2 linked regions of the Caenorhabditis elegans genome follow. The protein of the gene in region 2 interacts with the protein of the main gene of each other region in a pairwise test. Each region holds a gene or a part of one and is shown on either strand. Other genes may lie near its edges.

Region 1 (5,459 bases), on a different chromosome or scaffold from region 2:
AGAATGAGAGTCAGCATTACTTGACCCAAGTACTTTCTATAAGTAGCTTATTATACAGCACTGAGTATGTAAAAAAAGAAAAACGAGAAGGGAGGTAGGTTATGACTGAATATTTTTGACAGGAATATTATAAATGCTTTAGGTACGTAAGTTTTAAAAACTAGAATCAACTGAATATACCTTTTTTTACAGCATAATTTTTTTTCATTCATCGCCGAAAAAAACTTTTAGCCATTAGAGTAGCAACTAAGCTTTGAGGATAGGTGTTAACTGGAATAAAATTTCCTATTTTTCAAATTAGAATTTTCAACCTTCAAAACTTAATTTTGTATTCAGTAAAACTTCATGTGTTACCTGTCCCCTCAAAACTCAAAAACTTGATTGTATTGAAATATGCAGCTACAGGGTGGGCCATAATTATGCGCACTCGTATTTTTCTTTTTTTTTCATTTGTTTTGGAGGTTTTTCACTATTTGAAACAGTAATTTGATTTGTGATTAATTATTTCGAAGAGTTAAAATGTGATTTTAATGTGTTATCAAATATGGATATATTGTAAGTAACCAGTAGGATTCTTCGGATGATTTTTCAAAAATACATATTTGATATATACCGTATTTCTTCTATTAATATGGCCTCCCTATTAGACTTGCACTCCCTATTAGTATTGCTCCTTGAACACCCTCCGAAAATTAGTATTGCACTCCCTATTAGTGTTGCACTCCCTAATAGTATTGCGTCTACTTTTTTTTTGGTACAGACCCACCTCACTAATTTTGAGATTTTAACAACATTTTTTGCCTACTTTGCAACAATTTGTGGTAAAATTTTTATGAAATTGAAGTTATTGTACCTTTTTGTTGCAATTACAATCAAATTTTCACTTTCACACAAGGTTCGAGTTTTTTCAGAAAAAAAATCAGAAAGCTCAAAGTCAGAAAAATTTTCTGAAAATTAATATTGCACTCCCTAATAGTCTTGCACTCCCTATTAGTATTGCAAGCGGGAAGACCATCGAACAATAGTATTGCAGTCATATTAATAGAAGAAATACGGTATACAATTTTCAAAACTTCGAAACGAGGTTTATATTAGGTCTCCAAATAAGTTCCGGGTCAAAAATCATAACTTTGTTCGCTGTGTATCGATTTTTATGAAACTTTGGGAATTTATGTTATCAACCATGTTCTTTCATTTGACAATAGTCGCAAAAATTTTTGTACACCTCAAGTGTCCTAACTCGGAGCCAATTTTTCCAGGAATTTTTCCTATCTCGCTTCTTTTAACCTTTGAATTGAGGTTTGTGTGCGGATTTTGCTTTGCTTAAAATACATTATTAGAAAACGACAAAAGTTTAGAAAAAAATCCGTCCAAAAAATTTTTTTTAAATATATAATAATCGTTTTAGTTTGAAATTTGAATCTCGAGAAATATTCAAAAAACTCAAAAATTATCCGAAAAAATTATATTTTCTATTAACATTTTGGTGTATCGAAATAAATTGATATGTTTTGTATGTGTAAAAATAGTTCACGCTTGTTTACATCATTTTTGTAGGGAAAATCTAGAACTTTCGACAAAATTTTTTTTGAACATTTTTTGACGACCAACCAAAAAAAAATTTTTTGGACGGATTTTTTTCTAAAATTTTGTCGTTTTCTAATAATGTATTTTAAGCAAGGCGAAATCCGCACACAAACCTCAATTCAAAGGTCTTCTTTTAGAAGCGAGATAGGAAAAATGCCTGAAAAAATTGGCTCCGAGTTAGGACACTTGGGGTGGACAAAAAATTTTGTGACTGATGTCAAATGAAAGATCATTGTTGATAACATGAATTCCCAAAGTTTCATAAAAATCGATACACAGAGAACAAAGTTATGATTTTTGACCCGGAACTTATTTGGAGACCTAATAGATTTTTCACTTAAAAAATACATGTAAGAACTGTGATTTGATAAGCAAACACATACACAAATCCGGAACCGGAAGATTTTAAAATTAGTATTCTCTTTTCTATTTCATAAAACTTTTATAGTTTTGTGTTTAATCACGTTATGAAAAAGATCAATGATCTGAACTTCGTCAAATCTGATTTAGGATATATTTTGGTTGTTCAGCTCGGTTTGTCTGATGTAAATTATTTTTGAAAATTCTACTGAAACACCTAACTGATTTTATTTTTTCAGATAACAAAAAAAGCAGAGACAATGCCGTTTCTTCGAGAGTAACACAAAATTAGCAAAACTATTCAATATTGTCACATGCCGTGTCAATGTCTAGGGAATTGTAAAAATGGGTGTGGACTTGCGAACGTTTATATTCATTGTATACGCGTCGCACCAAATCCATCATAAAAATTGGATAGAAAGAATGAAGAACAGGAGGTTGGGTGTCCCCCGTGGTTCTCAGTCCCACACAGAAAGGAAAATGTGCCAGAGCACATTTTCTAATTGGTCAACGAGAAGAAGGGCGATTCGTCGTACTACTAACACAAGTCCAGCTGCTTCTCTGACCCAGGGAGAAAAAAGATGGGGGGAAATGGTAAATCTAGTTAAAACTGGAGTGAAGTGAATAAAATGCGAATAGTCAATAGGGGTCGAGCATTTATAACTGCGAATATGGCATTGAAACCTATTGAATTGGAATAACAAGTTGGAGAAGCGACGTTTTGCCGGGAGGCGGCAAAGCGGGAAAGGGGAGAGGAACTGGATTTATTCCATTTTTTTCTATTCTTCCAAACTTCCTTTCCCAAATAAATTATGCCTAAACCTTTTAAAAGTGTATAATTTTATAAATATTGTAGTTTGTAAAAAATTATGATCTAATTATTCTAGATGAGTAGAGAAGATACACTTGATTGGATAGTCTCCCATATTTGGATCACGCATGCGTTGTCCTCAAACTAGGGACCGGGAGTTGACGGACGAGGGAAGGGAGATGTGACCTCTTGGTTTGTCTGCGTCCCGTCTTCCACTCATGCTCTCTTTCAATCCACCATACCAGCTATTACTATCTCTACTCTCGTTTTCTTCCGCGTCTCGTTTACTTGTGACTTTAGAAGAGGATCTCTCACCCTCCCCACACCCTCTCCGGCATATATCTACAGCGAACGGGAATACGAAGGGAACCGAACACTTGGAGGATTAGAGAACCTAACCGCATAAAGCATTAAGAGCGGTTCTGAATCTGTCATCTACACTCGAAGGGCCTTATTGTGGGCAGACAATTTCGAATGAGATTGTGACAATTCATCGAAAAGTAGAAGGAACGTTAAAAACAATACATAAAACTTAACATACTGTTTTTCATGTTTTAACATGAACTTTTTTTTTTTGAGAAACTGAGAAATTACAAAATATTAGTTTTATAATACTTTACGTATAATTTATTTTACAATTTCGCCTTATTTTCTTTCAAAACTGAGAGCAGCTTCCTTTTTTTGAAAAATAGAAAAACAAAAGCTGATACTTCAGAAACAATCGTAAACTTTATCAGTACTTTTTTAATGAGTTTCAAACAATAATCATTTTTTTAGGAAAACTTTTGAATCAACAAATATTCATTAGTTTCGTCAAGTTAATATTTTTCAAGGCTGAATTTTTCCAAATGGTATGAAATTATACCATTCAATTTTTTTTTTGAAATCCAATGCCAAACTCAAATGTTGAAATTATATTTGTTTTTAGTTGAAAAGTAATTTTCACAATTTTCAAGCGCAAAATGCTTACCACATGTGAAGAGTTCATTGTCATTGATTTCTTTCCCAGTACTATGTGAATGACCCCTGAAAAACATTTTCTTCTTTATTAGTATATGTTGTTCGTAAAATTAAAATAAACAAAATACCATGGCCTTATAGTTTTTGAGAAGAATTATGAAATGAACTGAACTCACATTTTTGTTAAGTCCTACATGGGAGAATGTTTTGATGTTTTCAAAGTTAGAAAAGCCTGAAAATTATGAAGTTTGGCTTGAATTAAAAAAAAGAAATAAAAAGAAAAAATCGAAGAAGACAAAAAAAAAAGAACATGGAGGAAAAAAGAAAGGACGCGCAATTGGTGTGAAGGTATGTGTCGAGTACCCGGCTGCCCTCTCTTTTCTCATAACCCATCCAGTGACCAGCAGAGCGCGCTTGCATACTTCTCACTCGTTGTTCACTGCTTATTACTGCGCACTTGGTTCAACACTAACGCCTATTCGCTAGTCAAACAATAACAACAGTTCCTGTCAGATAAATAGTACTAAGCTAGAGGAGATTGGAAACGCGGAGTAGAGACTACAAATACTTTGAACTGATTGAACTTATATGCATACGAAATGAATGGATAATGTTTAAACTGGATATAATTAGTTTTTAGTTGTTTTACAAAATTGTGGTGATTTAATAATTAAAAAAAAGTTATGCTATTCGGATATTTGTGTATTCGCAAAAACCATAGTTTTAAACCAATTAACAAATTGTCAATTACAAATCTAAAATCTAACAATTATTGACAAGACCATACATATTAATAAACAAAAAAGTTTTGCATTGTAAAACCAATCAAAACTTGTCGCCGTTCCTTTTTCGCTATGTTTTATACAAATCTGCGATACGAATTCGTATCGGTTGAAAGTGTGGGGATGAAGTGTGAAATGAAACAAAAAGTGTGATCACAAAGAATGGGACGAGAGGCCAGGAGGTACTCAAAACCCCCGCCAATTTTGTCCCATAAAAATTGGAGCGACGAAAGAGTATGGGAATGCAGTTTGAAATAGAAAAGTTGAACAATAGGTAGTATTCAGATTGACGCATTTTTTAAATGGAAATCAAAACTAAAAGAATCAAAATTTTGAAGAAACAGTACGGTATGCCTCTGAGGGTTGGTTGAGTGAATTCTAACTCATTAGAAAATTGCTGTCCTACTATTTTGAAAACAATAAAAGGGCTCCTTAGACTAAAATATGCTGAAAAGTACCTATCAAGTTTTAAATAAGTTTAAAAATTTTTGGAGATTTGCATTGTTTCACGGACTATATAATTGTACATGAAGCACTAATTTTAAATTGTGTGTTTAAGAATAATTTGTTAATTGAGAACAAATTCCATACTTGAAACACTCAATAAGAACGCACTCTAATGCATACAATAATTCTTTAAAAAAACTCCCAAGTTTTAATAATTGCTGACGAAGATGTTTTGGAAAACGTGATCTCCAAGTAATGAATGCTTGGCAATTACAAATAACTTTTTGAAATCAAAAGATTATATGTGGTTGTATTTCTCCATAAAAAAGTGGAATTGTGTGTAGGGTTTTCAAAAGATGAAAATAGGTTTGTTGTTATAACATGCATATGTAATATGACTATGAAACTGTGCTATTTTGCTAGTGTTAGTGATTTTGATGGTGACAAAGTGTTCTATTTTCGATAATTTTTTTTATTTTTCGTCTTTTCTCCTCGTTTAATTGTTGGAAATT
Region 2 (6,481 bases):
CACCTCCTCGTTGTTCTGTACCTCAAATTATGTAAACTCTTGAGACGAACTGACAACTACCTCCACCTACACACAAATACTCTTTTTTCTTCTCTACCTTTCCCGTCTTCTCTTACCGTTTTTTCACTTCTTGTTGCTGCCACCGTCGTTCCTAATTGCCATTCATGACCCCACGCAGACAGTAAGTATCTCTTTCAACTCTTCCCATATAATTTTCTTTTTTTTTCCGAAAAAAGAACGGTATTGTATGTATTTCTCTCCTCTCGGCATACCAACTACTACTTGTCTTGTATTTCAGTTTTTGGAAGTGGATGCTTCAAGAGGTTGGGGTTATTAGAAACGTGGCAGCTAGTTCTAGAATGCCAGAAGTATCTGAAAATCTGGAACTTCGCAAACACGCTTGAAATGAAATAATTTCGCTTTTGTAATCTCTCACTATTTTATTGAAAGTATTAATCGAGACACTTAGGAATCATGTAAAAGTTGAGAAAATAGGCAGTCGTGAGCTACTCAGACAAGTCTGCATATTAAGAAAAGTGTAATTTTGCAGGGTTTCTGAATATATACCAAAAAATCAGACGATCTTAGGCATATTCTCTGAAATCTCTCACTTTTCCTATTTCTTTTCTTTACGTTCGGCTTCATCTTGTTGCGTAATTGTAGACACTGTCTCCTCCTCTTCACGAACAGTTATTATTATTGTGGTGTGCTTGGCTTGTAAAAAAGGTGTTTGTGTAGAGTACTTCCTACCTTTCGTCTTCTTTCTAGAAGTGTATACACATGATGATATCTTTCTTCATGGATTTTAGTAGTACTGTGTGTCTGTGTCAATATACCTCCTTCCGGACGGATGGCCATTTATTATATTCTTTCATCATAAAAGGTCATATGAGGTGTCGATTATAGGGTTTAAATGAATAGAAAGTTCTTCTTCAAAGACAAGTCTTAGTACGGATGAGGACTAGAGCCTTTAGTTTTTTTCTCTGTTGAAGATTTTGTTTGAAAGTTTTCACTTTCCGTTGAAAATCGAAACCAAATGTTAACCATGTGGTGGTCTGTAGATAATTTATGTCCCTCTACGGTTTTTATCACCTTTGTTTATTATCACTGATCGTTGTAATTAGGCCACGGTTTTTATGTTGCTTCTTCTTCTTCCTTCCTTTGAAATTTTTTTTTGAAAATAGTTGTTAAAAACCTGTTAAGATCTTTTTTATCGATACTATGTATACCACCGTGTTTACCATACGACTTTGAGAAGGAGGTAAATGTTGATTTTTAGTTTATAAATGATCTTTACCATGGGGGAATGTAGAAGGAGTAAAATGTGTTGTATACATTGGAATTTTAGTATGATATGTGGATTTTTTGGTTTTGAAATTCTAAGTTGGCAGTTAAAAGTAGTTAAAATTTTGGATAATGTGAAAGCTTTTAAATTCAACAGACCCTCAAGCTTCCTATGCTTCTCATATTCAAAAACACCTCTCTATTTTTGTACATTGCAACTTTTTTGAATTTTAGGACTTGATGGAGTGCTACATATTCCCATATTGGGACTACTGTTTTTGATGGTTTCAGACAAATCCAAAACTTTTCAACTATTAAAATATCTGAATTCAAAGAAATATGTGTTTTCCTGCCACCATCTCATGTTCACGATGTTTAGTATAGTTTCTTTTAACAACTATATTTACAAAATTGTTCTATAAATATTTGTGCTCATCTCTGGTCCATTAACTCTTCTGCTCTATTGGGTTGTCAGTTTTTTTTTCCAAAAATATTTATTTTTTCTTGTTTTTGTCCATTATTTCCATCAATTTCCTTCCATCAATCCACTCTCAACACTTCCTTCAATAGTATAGTTTCCACACCTTTTCGGCAAATAAAACACACAGACACCATCCAAAAAATTCGGAAGACTTTGTGTTGCCACGTCATCTTTTTGATCGGAAATGGTTCAACGCGAGCTGTTGCTCAAGTGTCTATTGAGAAGAGTGTGTTGTGTCGGAAGAAAATACGCTTGAAATTTCTGTCCGATTTTCAATTTCGATTGCTTATGAGTGTGAGCATTATGGATTAATTTGCTCCAGTTTCTGTCTTTTTTCCGTTTGGTCAATTTCGATGCAAAATGAATGAGTTTTCTGTGACCAAAAAGTTGATAAAGGGTTAATTTTTCATTGTTCCTTAAAGTTTTGCGCTCTAGATATTTTTGAAAATGATCCTTTCTTGTTTTATTTTTAGCCAATAATTGCTCTATCAAATTTATTGAAAATTTATTTTCAAAATTCAAAATACTTGTATCCCCCACTTTCATTCTTAATCCAATTTCTGTCACATCCGTTTCTCATCAAAAATAAAAACGAAAAGTTTTTCTCTCACCTTTGTCATTCTTTTACTAAAACTTCCTCCTTTACCATTTTTTTAAATCAGAAAGTTCCAGGTAGCCAATACAAAAATCAAACATATTTATTTTTGAATTATCAAGTTTTATCACTTGATAATTTTAAATTGCAAAAATAGCGACTTCAATTGACAAACCACAATCAAGGCATTCGTCAAGGATGACGGCAAGACCATATGAGCCACCACCGGATTATGTGAGTTTTTAAAAAAATTTTAAATACTGGTTATCTTCTGTATTTACTGGATATATAACCAAAATTTTGTAAGGCATTTGTTAACTACACTTTTTAAAATAAAAAAATAATTAGATTAATATTGTCAGAACTGTAAACTTTTAAAAAGTTAGATATTTCCCATTACTGTAATTTTTGGAAAAAATCTAACATTTCTGGAACTTTTCGCCTGTAAGGTTATTATGTTTTTTTTATTCGAGAATGTTTTGAAAAATTCAATACTCCGTCTTGTAAAGCGGTTTCAAACCCCACGTTCACGTTCACGTCCACGTTCAGTATTGACCAAATATTAGTATTATAATTGCTCGATGTGGCAGTTGAAGTTTAAACTGTTCTAGAAAAAGTTTAAAATATACCGAAAAAGTGAAGCAAAAAAAAGTTATTGATGGGTTTAATTTTTTGGTAAAACTGACTATGTCGGCATACGATTTTTTCAACAAATGTTCAACCTTTCCCCCCAGCTTTTTCTCTTCTTTTTGCAACTTTTTCATGTTTATTTACACAATAATATGTGCTCTTTTTCTATATTCTTGCTTTCCCGCGCACTCTCATTTGACAGTAGTATGTTCATTTTCAATTCTTCACACCAAAAAACTGGTTTTCCCGCAAGCGGTATCTTTTCTTGTTGCCGCTGTGGGAGCCGACCCGGCAATGACTTTTGGCACCTGTTGAAGCATACTTTTTCAACTGTCTTTGTGTGCATGCAGACTATGAACTCCACTTGAAAATTCATATCGGATTTCGATAGGATAATCAGGTTGGTGTGGGTAAACGTCTTAGGTTTTTTAGGGAAAATTAAAAAATTATAACTTCTTTAAAAAAACGTATTTTTAAACTTAAAACTTTAAAGATCGTGTGTGTAGAAACACTCAGTTTATTGACTTTTTCAAAAGATTAATTATATTTAAATAGTCGCAAGATGATGTAGTCATAGAATGCAAGAGACATATAGAGAGCACGCAGAGAAAGTCGCAGTTTTGATATTTCTCGGGGTGTTATCAAAACATTTTTCCTTTTTTCTCCTTTTTTTTCAAGAAGCCCCTATTTTTTTGAAAATTCATTATTTTGATCAAAGCGGTGACATTCTCAAAAAAGGATGCCTTCTTTTTAAATTTTTTTATAAAAAATTTCTCTGTGAGCTCTGTATCATCTGTTTTTATCCACAGTTTCTCATAATTGACGGCTGTGCTTAGAATCTGACAAACTGGTACCAGACTACTAGATCTTCTTTTTCCTCCGTTTTCTCTTCATTTTAGATTCCTAGCAGATTAAGATTGAATCATCAAATTAGTGAAGTGAAACCGTTGCTAATTGTCTGAAACAATTTGTTTACTGGCAGCTTGCGAAATAGTTTTTTTTGGCTTTGGCTTTTTTGGCTTGAATCAGTTTTGGATAATGTCAAAAAAATTTTGCCGCTTTGAAATTAAAGACAATAAAATTTTAACAAGACGATTTGTCTGAAGGTTACAGAGAATGACAAAAGGAGAATTTTTAAAATTCAATTTTCTTTTCTAATAGAGAACGTACTCAAAACTTCAATGATATCATATTATTGACCCTATCCGATGTTACAGAAAATTCTGTTTGTACAAGATATCCAGATGTCATATGAACTTTATCGCGTCATTTTTTCTCACCCAACTCCCAATTGTTTGCGTTTATAGATTTTTTTATTTTTTAATCAAGACATTCTAACATCACTTGGTTTTTGATAGTTTATCTAAGTTGGATATTTTTGATAAGAGCCTATATACATATATGAATAATATTTGAACATTTTGAACGCTTAGTGAATTGTTTGTGCATAAATTAAAAACATATCGGAAATTATTTTGCTAAATGCTTTTTTTGTTCTCGAGAATCACTTTCCTCGCGAGTCATCATCATCAGAATCGTAAAAGATATATCAAATATCCGGTGTCGTTTTCTTTTCGAACTTTCTCCTCCTCCTCCTACCTCCATCACTATTCCAATTATCACAAAGGAACGATGAAGCGTTTTTTTTTTGTGTTGAAAATGGCCTCTCTCCTCCGATTGACGACCTTATGGCTGCGTGTGGATCATCTTGTTCCCCTATTGAATTATCCTGAAAGACGACGAGAACATTGATTCAGAATGAAAGAAGGAGGTTTGAACAACTATCTCAAGATGTGTTAGGCTTATTCTTTCAACTTGAATGATCTTGATTTGCACTTTTTCTTTGGAGACCGTTTTTTGGCATTTCTTGTACGCATTGTTCTCGTTGCAATACGTTTAATATCACAGATACCAGTGCTCACGAATGTGACGGGAAAAGTGTTAGTTTCCCAAATATGTTCACTTCTTTTCTACATTTGACAATGTTTTTCTAGTACTAGGTAGAAATAAGATATGAACCATCAAACGTCTCTTCAATAACATTCGTCTATTTGTGCAAATTTTGAATGCTTTCAATTTTAAATTGCTTTCTGTAATTCTTTGGTTTTTCGAAAAGAAGACCAATTATTAATTTTGAACCAGCTGAGAATTTAACCTAGAAATATTTGAAATTCTTCGTCGATATAGTTTTTACATCTCCCCTCGATTGCAACTTATCCAAAATGTGTTCTTCCAAAAAAATGCTTATCATTTCCTTTTCTCATGAATTCCAATCCAGTGTTTTTTCATCTTCCTCCTCCTTCTTTCCCTGTTTTTGTGTAGCTTCCTCTCTGATTTCTCCCATTGATAGTATCGGCTAATAACCCTATCATTTTTGCTTCCCAGTTCACCTTCTTCCGTTCGTCCACCTTTTGGATGCTTACCCGAAAAGATCTCATCATCTACGCATGATTTATGACATACCCCACACACAACTTCTAAAACCAAAACGCCCAATTTACATAGATAATCATTAATGTCTCATGGCTACTTACAGCTTGATGACCACCGGAAGTTTATTTTACTTTTTATTGTTAACTTACAATTATAGAGTTACGTCTGCTATATTTACACATATATGTAGGTGCCAAATTATACAATTTTTGTTTTAGTGGAAAAATTATCAGAACCCCCAAAAATTCACTTTGCAATCCATTCTATTCACTTTAATATTTGAACCTTATCTAAACTCTTCATACGTTCTTCTGAATTTTGCAACATTTTCGACCTCTTTGTTCTCGTAGATCAAAACTGATATTCTTTATTATTGATAAAGACCAATACGAATCGGCTAACGAAAACACACGCACAGTTTCTCACAATCAAAACCCGAGGCAACAGCATTCACCGGATGATTCCCAGCAGTTTTGTTGTGTATGTCCGAAACGATAAATCTTCCGAATTAAATACCTAAACGTACAAAAAAAGGAAATTGAAGAGAAGGGGAGAAAAGTTGTAGATATGTTGGTTTTTAGGCTACATATTCTGCTTCATCTAAGTACCTATCTTTCATTATTTCAAGTAAAAATTATTTTGAATGTATAACTGCCTGCCTATGTTCCTGCCTACAAGACGCTCATTAGTTTCCCGGCTTCCCAAACATTTTTCCGCTTTTCATTTCTTAAAAAAGTTTTTTTCCTGCAAAATCATGATCAAAATGTCAATCAAACTTTGTTGCTTCCCGTCATTTCACTTTTTATTTGGTTCCGAAAAGCAAAGCAATACCGGAATTAAGGTTTGACAAAATCTCAATTAAAAGCTTTGATGCGGTAGATCAGATCAATCAATTTTTTTTGAATTTTTATTATTTTGAAATTTTATGCAGAAATTTTCTAAAATATTTAGTTTCTAAATTCAGAATCTAAATCATATATCTTGCAAACATGTTTTTTGTTTTTAGAAAAGTAAACCATTAATCATGAATAACGTACAAAATCATGAGAATCTAATTA

Evidence for each region. The genes of interacting proteins can lie anywhere in the genome.
Region 1: the proteins of C05D10.4 (region 2) and abl-1 interact in binary tests that used the Caenorhabditis elegans proteins (3 or more experiments, as listed by UniProt).

The regions. Positions count from the first base shown.
Region 1 is NC_003284.9:10,620,251-10,625,709, forward strand, and holds the start of abl-1 (Tyrosine-protein kinase abl-1), read right to left. Parts: upstream 3,940-5,459; 5' UTR 3,897-3,939; coding exon 3,895-3,896; intron 3,785-3,894; coding exon 3,729-3,784; intron 2,458-3,728; exon of another isoform or gene 2,333-2,457; intron 1-2,332. UniProt on the Caenorhabditis elegans protein: Functions downstream of migratory protein mig-13 and is involved in Q neuroblast migration during larval development.
Region 2 is NC_003281.10:6,098,819-6,105,299, reverse strand, and holds the start of C05D10.4 (SAM domain-containing protein), read left to right. Parts: upstream 1-2,437; 5' UTR 2,438-2,558; coding exon 2,559-2,594; intron 2,595-3,869; exon of another isoform or gene 3,870-3,890; intron 3,891-6,481.